Oryzias latipes: one gene and its partner. The protein of the gene in region 2 purifies or fractionates together with the protein of the main gene of each other region. This does not show direct contact. Links are inferred from orthologs where the notes say so. Each region holds a gene or a part of one and is shown on either strand. Other genes may lie near its edges.

Region 1 (3,923 bases), on a different chromosome or scaffold from region 2:
AGGAGACACTTCACACCAACACAGAGGGGTGGGAGGGGCTTTATTGGGATCACGTGGCACAGAAAAAAAACGGATTACGGAGCTCTTCTGGACAGCAGCATCTCTCTGATGTTGTCTTCAGCCTCCTTCACGCTGCGCTCCAAGTACACCTTCTTCTGCTGCAAGAGACCACAAACGGGCAGCAACAGTCAGAAACCCGCAAACATGCACTGCGAGCTGTGATGGAGCAGGCACTCGCACCTCAAGCTCCTTGATCTTCTCGTCCACGGTTTTCTGTTTGTCTGTCAGCAGGTTGTTGATCTTCTCCCTGGACTGAAGAATGAACCTGAAACAACAGTTTTCTGTCATCTATAGGATCGGCAGGGCAGATGAACCTAAAGGCAGCATTCAGACATTAACGTTTCTTTATACCATGGTCCGGGTGAATACTCGATTCTGATTGGCTGCTGGGTGTGCATTAAAGTGATAATCCACGGTGATAATGTACGCCTAAAAAAGAAGTTCCGGGCACATAGCTTAACTGTTCTGTATCACTGCACTGGCTTCTTTAAAACAAACTTCAGCCTCATCATCTGGACTAAAAGAGGTAAACTTTCTCTCTGAACTGATGCTTTATTTAACCCGTGGTGACGATCAGCATATATATTGCTTTCCTTTGCCGCAGCAGTCGAGGTCAGTGGGGCTAAGCAGCGCGTTATGTTACCGTGACACGTAACAAATAGTCGACTTTTTGTGAAGAGAAAAAAAAGAGATTGGAACCATAAAAATGTTAGAATGAAAGGCCTAAAAACTGGTTATATATTTATTTCTTTTGTAAGTAATCATGGTAGCAGCGGATTAACGGCTGTCAAAGTGGGCACAATCAGAAATTAATGCACTTTATGGAAGCAACTGCGGAGGACGGTTGCTTCCACAAAGTGCATTCATTCATTCATTTTCTTCCGTTTGTTCCCTTTCGGAGTCACGGGGCTGCCGGAGCCTATCCCGGCCACTTATGGGTGAAGGCAGAGGACACCCTGGACAGGTCGCCAGTCTGCCGCAGGGTCACAGTCACACACCCATTCACACTCACATTCACACCTATGGACAATTTAGAGTTGCCAATTAACCTATGGAGCATCTTTTTGGACGGTGGGAGGAAGCTGGAGACCCCGGAGAAAACCCATGCATGCACGAGGAGAACATGCAAACTCAATGCAGAAAGGTCCCCCATTGATGTTCTGTTTCAGGTCCCCCAGCCGGGACTTGAACCAGTGGCCTTCTTGCTCCGAGGCAAGAGTGCTATCAGCATTAACGCATAAAGTGCATTAATGCTGATAAAGCACACTTTGTTGGCCATTAACCCTTATGTAGCTCAGTGTTTGTGCAGATCAGTTGCTAAACGCACATCCTCTTCAAACTTGTGTATAAAAGTGTTGACTGGATGTGAAGTTCATAAAGTCAATCAGGTCAGACAGAATTCCTCTGTCTGGAACTCTCATGGAGCCTCAGTAGCATCAATGAGGCCAATCAAAACCTCTCCAAAAAGAAATTTATGTGAATCTGGTGGAGATCTCCTTAAAATAAATGTAAAGTTTTCAAAATAAGAGGCACATGGTTTCACAACTGCAGTAGAACCGTGTGACACTGAGATTTCCAAAGCAGAACCAGACATTTGATGGAAAAACCAGACTGGTTTCATGTTTTTCAGATGTGTCTAACTCATCTGTGTTCTTTGGTGAGTTGGCATTGATTACAGGAGAGCACACTTACATTCGGCCGACGCCCTCGTACAGGCGCGTGTTTTCCGGCAGCGAGGAGATCTCTGTGCTTGTGAGCTTGGCATGTTTCTGAACTCGAGTCAGCTGATCAATCTGGAGGTCGGCCAGCTTCACCTTCTGCTGTGTGTCAATCATCTTCAGCTGTAGCTCGGCGAATGCCTGCAGAGACAGGAAGTATCGCTCTGTTCAAAGTCGAAAAGGAAACCAGGAGAGAATCAGAGTTTCACTATTTCTCCCATCTCTTCCTTTTCTCTGGCTTGATTCAGGAAGTCAAACAGAAAAATGAAACACTGCCTCTCCTGTAAATCAGTTAACAAGCAAAGCGATCTGCTACATGAAGGTAGTCTATGAAGATATAAACCTGGACCATTTAAATGTTTGCATAAAGGAGGTAAAAAAAAAAAACGACATCTGACCTAAAATAATCCACGACACTGAAAGATGGAAAACTGGACTTTAACATTTACAAGCATGTTTGTCATAATCTGGTTTCCTCAAACCCCATCATCTTTTGTCTCAGTGTTAATACCGCAAAGGATTGTGGGATTGGAATATGGTCCACCCGATCAGAAAGGATGCTCGGCCGTTTCAAAGAGATGGGGGGGGGGGGGCAACCTCAAAACTCATTTTGCTCTAAGGGGTTCAAAGATTCGGTGCAGGTACACAATGGTCCGGTTCACATGTTTGTTACTAGTGAAGTGACCGGTCAGCCGAATTTCGTGAACCTTCCGCGTGCACCACTGAATGCGGTATGGGTCACACTAATAACTACCAGCGGTAGCTGCCTGTAACCCAATATCGGAGAGTATGCGCAACCACGTGCGTCAGACATATGATGTGTTCGGCGTCCTGTAAACTACACACCTTTTTTAGTTCCAGGTCCACGGGCGCCGCCATCTTTAGAGTAGATTTCGAGTGCGCATGCGCAAGATTGTCTTCTTCGGGCTTATTTTGTGGCAGCATCAAGTTTGCCCACAGCCCCTCCCAGTAACGATGATCTATTTAAACTCCCCGTGACCTTTTTTTTAAAAAAAATAAAAACGTTCCCAGTGGTGTTTTAGTTACAATTACGACGTTTTTTTTAACTAAAATTCCACAAGCCAAATGTCTTTAAAATGTCATGTTTATCTGAAGCGTGTTTCCAAGAACTCCTCTACATGGGCGTGGCTATTGGTGCTGATTAGCTCCGCCCTCGATTCCCCCTATCTGCAAGCTGCGTCTTGCCTGAGTGAAGACCGATAGACAGTCCCAGAAATTGTAAAAATTGTTGAATACACTTGCATAGCACTATTCACACGTCATTTTCCAAATACTTGTGGCCAGTGCAAAACTTAATTCTTGAACACCCGGACCCAGAGGAAAGGTTAAGTTTAGTGTTATGGTTACATTTAAGGTGCGTTCACACTGAACGAGATTCGTGGCAGAGGTGGCCAGTTAAGGCCCGTACACACCGGGACGAATTTCGCGCGCGATATTCGCCGATGTTTAACGCCTCATGACTAAACAAAGGGCACCAATGTGAGTGTGCACACCGACGTGAAAAAACGCCACGCTTCAAAGCGTCACTTTATAAAAAATGCCTCGGGTTCGTTTTTTTGGTTTGGCGCCACGCGGCAAAAACTATACGACTAATGAGAATGGGGCTTTTGGACACGTGTCTGGAGCTTCTGAAGTTACAGTAAAACACAACTTGGGGGCGCTCAAACACAAAACTGCCTTTCTGAGCACACATACCAGCGAAGAAGATAAGACGCCAAGTGGAATCTACACTGCCGCAAAGAAATAATGACGGACATTCTAAAATATCCCCGAAAACGCTCATGATACATTTTTAGCTCTCGTACCAGTCGATAAAACTCCCCATGTTCTTCTCTTCTCGTAACTATGGGATGTACCCAAAATCTGCGTCTTTTCCAGCGTCTTTCATCGTTTGCTGTGGTGTCATCGGTATAAAGGTATTGTACTGCAAATAATGATCCTGTGTTAATAAAACTTTGACTTGCTTTACGGCAGTTATCAGTCTTTACTCGGTGCAACACATCATTCAACAGAACAATAATTTCTTCATTGCTGGAACTGGAGCTACTGGTGCTGGAAATATTCATGTTTTCTTTGTTTGATTCTGACAAGCGCGTAAATACTTGCTCTCTTCTTCTGAGTGAA
Region 2 (3,923 bases):
CCTGTATGGAAGAAAGAGGGAAAGTTGTTAAATTCAACCATCTGTATATATTAGACATTCTGTAGCCTCCAAGACTGAAGGACAGTCGGAGACTTGGACCTGGGACTTGAGTGACACTTCAGCCTCACATGCACTGACTTGACATTTGACGTCAAGGGCTTAAAACACGACTTGGAGCTTAGGATTTAGGATGTGTGTACGATACGTATTTGTTTATTCTTGTTATTTCGCTCCGTAACATCACTGTCACCTTGAAGCTCATCAAGAGAATGCCAAGAGTGTGCAAAGCAGGAATCAAAGCAAAAGGTGTCGTAAAATACTTTTTTCTTTGTGTTTATTTGATTATATTAAAGACTTTTAAATAAGAATGACGGTACCGTGATTTAGCTGCAGTATTAACTGTTTTCTGAAAAGTCCCGCCCCTTTAACTGTCTCCGCCAATCATTCTTGGAGTCTTAATCATACGTCATCAGTCTGACCAATCAGAAGTGGTTAAAGTCTTCACTTCCTTGTTCCATTTCTGCTCATAAAGTCTCTCAGTTCCAACAAAAATACCAGCTAAAGCTCGTCTTTAGCGGTGTAGCTTTCCACAGAATCCGGTGTCAGACCGTGGAACAAGGGAACAAAACCATGAAGCTCCAAGACGCCAGTCTGTCTGGCGTTTGCCGGCTGTTGACACTACATCTCCCATGATGCATTGGGTTAAAGTGGCAGCGTATCAGTGTACAATGAGTCTTCCTTTGACGTCTTGAAACCACAACGAACACACACCAAACAGTTTTTAAATCTTCTAACTTAACTTTTATTACATCTTTTAGAAAACCAGCTGCAGCTTCCAGCTTTTTCTGCCACAATGATCACAACAATGCATGTGAGATTGCAGAGGGGCTGTAGATCAAAACAGACTAGGAGTTTTATTTTTATTTTTGGATGCTGGTGTGCCACAGGATTTTTGTCAAGGTTAAAGTGTGCCGTGGCTCAAAAAAGGTGTGAAAACACTGATCTATGCGCACGTGGTGTGACGGTTAAAAGAGGTGCCATCCTAAGCAAAGTTAGAAGTAAAACTATAAAACATTTTTTAAAACATTAATGATCAAACAAATTACCAGTAAGGGACATTTTACATACCTTTGTTGTTTTCGGTCAGTACATTTAAACTGTCTTTTGCTTCAACATACTTGGTCTGCACAACTTTGAACTGGCCAATTGAAGAAGTCAAGAATTCAACTTCCTGGGAAAAAAAACACAGCATGAATTTCAAAAAAGCAATTAAAAAAAATTAAAAGAAACACCCCAGAGGAGTTCCATCTATGTACTCAGATACACCACCATTCACTAGTTTTAGAAAACGAATGTTTCCAGTTTTTTATTGACGCATAAGTGTGATGTTTTGTTGCATTGTGAAACAAAACTGATAGTAAAGCTGAGAAACTGAGGTTGCAAAAGCAGATCCTGGAAATGACCAAGTTATGCCAACACTCCTGCTGCCCCGTGGCCACAGTTTGCAGAAATGTTGAGCTGGCAGTTTCTTTCGGCCACCAAGCGCGGTCTGGACGGCGCTCAGCTGGAAATGATCGCACACAGGCTTTTTGGTAACGGTTTCAGTCGTGCTTTTGTGCAATTTTTCTTTCCAGCACGATTGTGTTCAATAATTTAGGTAGTTTTTCATTAACATAGTCATATCCTGAAATGCTACAACAATTTACTTCAGTGAGTGATGTTGTTATTTGATTAATTTTGTAGATGTTTAGCACTGACATCTGCCACATAGAGGTAAACTACACTAAACTGCACACCTGTGACTACTTCACCAGGATAGATTCTGTTGCATTTCTTGAATTCATTAGAATTTATAATAATTCCCAACGCCAGAATGCCTTATCAATAAGGGTATTATATGTTCTAGGGGTGTAAGAATAAACGTAGTTGAACCGAAGCGTTTCAGTACAGCAGGTTCGGTTCAGTTCACTTCTGTACCGTTAGGTACGTTTTTTCCCCCGGATGTGTGCATTGTAAAAACTCAGCTGCTTTGTCACTCATAGCGGGTGTATTGGTTGAATGACAACAATAAGCCTGATTCAAAATTTAACAAAAAAATGTAAATAATATAATGATAAGGCCAGGCAAGTTCAAACTGTGACTCATTTCTCTTAACTCTTGAAGGTCGCTACCCATCCTGTCTATGTATCAATTAAATCCTATAAAGTCTAAGGACAAATTGTAAAATAAACTATTGTCGGTTTTTTCTCTGTCAACTCAAAAACCCTTCTTTACAACCGAGCAGCACCTGAAACTCCACGCCCCTGCGGGGAAACATCATGACCCTCCGCGGCCGCTGCGCTGCTCTCATTCCCGCCTTTAGCGTAGACGCCTTCATGAAGAAGCAGCGGTCACATATTCAGTCTAAACTCACGCATTTTACCTGGTCCAGCTGGCCTTTGAGTCCTTCTAACTGCGGCAGAGAGAGGTCTGTGAGATTCACCGCCATGTTGGAAGCGTGGTGACAAAAGACGGATTCTTCTTCCGGTTGCGAGATGTACTTCCGGTTGACATATTTTCCGGTTTATTAGAACATGAAAGCTGTTTCAAAGTAAATATGATTTAAAATGAAATGCAAAAAATAAATAAATAAAAGGAAAGAAGAAAACTTCCTTTTTAAATATGTTGACTAGCTCTAGTTTATATGACTATTTTCTAACGCAGACTCTGCATAACAGTTTCTTTGATTGAAATTGAATGGGTTTTTTTCTGCAGAATATTAAAATTACGATAAGCATGAAGGTCAGTCGTAGTAAGACAGAATACATGTGTCTGAATGAGAGGGATCAAGGTAGAAGCGTTAGGTTACAGAGGGCTGAGGTGAAGAAGGTGCAGGAGTTTAAGTACTTGGGGTCAACAGTTCAGTGTGATGGGGAGTGTGGAAAAGAGGTGAAGAGGCGAGTGCAGGCAGGTTGGAGCAGTTGGAGGAAAGTGTCAGGAGTGTTGTGTGACAGAAGAGTGCCAGCAAGACTCAAAGGAAAGGTGTACAAGACAGTGGTGAGACCAGCTCTGCTCTATGGGTTAGAGACGGTAGCAGTGAGACAGAGACAAGAGGCTGAGATGGAGGTAGCGGAGATGAAGATGTTGAGGTTCTCCTTAGGAGTGACCAGGTTAGACAGGATAAGGAACGAGTACATCAGAGGGACGGCTCATGTTGCCTGTGTTAGCGACAAAGTCAGAGAAGCCAGACTGAGATGGTTTGGACATGTTCAGAGGAGGGATAGTGGATATATTGGTAGAAGGATGTTGGAGATGGAGCTGCCTGGCCGGAGGGCAAGAGGACGGCCAAAGAGGAGATACATGGATGTCTTAACAGAGGACATGAAGTTGGCTAACGTTAGGGTAGAAGATGTTCATGATAGAGTGAGGTGGAAAAGGATGATTCGCTGTGGCGACCCCTGATGGGAAAAGCCAAAAGAGAAAGAAGATTAAAATTACGATAAGAGACCATGGAAACGTACAATAATCTGGTTTTTAATTTAGTCAATTACATCTGCAGGTTGAACAACTGCCATGCAGTCTGTGGGTCAAGTATAGGGGCCCATACTTGTTCTAGTTTGCATATCAGTTACACGAAGCATTTGGCTGCATGTCATACTGTGTGTTTGTGACAAATATTTGAACTTTCTATTTTTGCTTAATATTTATTCAATATTGAAACATGCAGATTAATGACCTAGTATTTTCTAGACAAAATTGACACTACTTTCTTTATGCCATCACCCGCTTTGAAGTTTGGATTTAGGAATTAAATCTTAAGGTAGGCTACCTGAGGTTTGAAGCGTAGTTTATACTCTTATTCATAGACAAAAACGGCAAATTCTACCAAAACTCAAAAGAACCAAATTAAGACTTTTCCCCTCTTTTTCAGGACGTCCTGCTTC

Evidence for each region.
Region 1: the proteins of pfdn5 (region 2) and pfdn1 purify together in Homo sapiens (affinity purification with mass spectrometry; 7 studies listed by BioGRID and IntAct, with this or other methods). This does not show direct contact. The link is inferred for Oryzias latipes from reciprocal best matches to the Homo sapiens genes PFDN5 and PFDN1.

The regions. Positions count from the first base shown.
Region 1 is NC_019872.2:23,090,218-23,094,140, reverse strand, and holds pfdn1 (prefoldin subunit 1), read right to left. Parts: upstream 2,790-3,923; 5' UTR 2,724-2,789; coding exon 2,625-2,723; intron 1,920-2,624; coding exon 1,753-1,919; intron 326-1,752; coding exon 241-325; intron 159-240; coding exon 75-158; 3' UTR 22-74; downstream 1-21. UniProt on the Homo sapiens protein: Binds specifically to cytosolic chaperonin (c-CPN) and transfers target proteins to it. Binds to nascent polypeptide chain and promotes folding in an environment in which there are many competing pathways for nonnative proteins.
Region 2 is NC_019863.2:4,452,186-4,456,108, reverse strand, and holds the start of pfdn5 (prefoldin subunit 5), read right to left. Parts: upstream 2,423-3,923; 5' UTR 2,378-2,422; coding exon 2,288-2,377; intron 1,232-2,287; coding exon 1,129-1,231; intron 2-1,128; coding exon 1-1. UniProt on the Homo sapiens protein: Binds specifically to cytosolic chaperonin (c-CPN) and transfers target proteins to it. Binds to nascent polypeptide chain and promotes folding in an environment in which there are many competing pathways for nonnative proteins.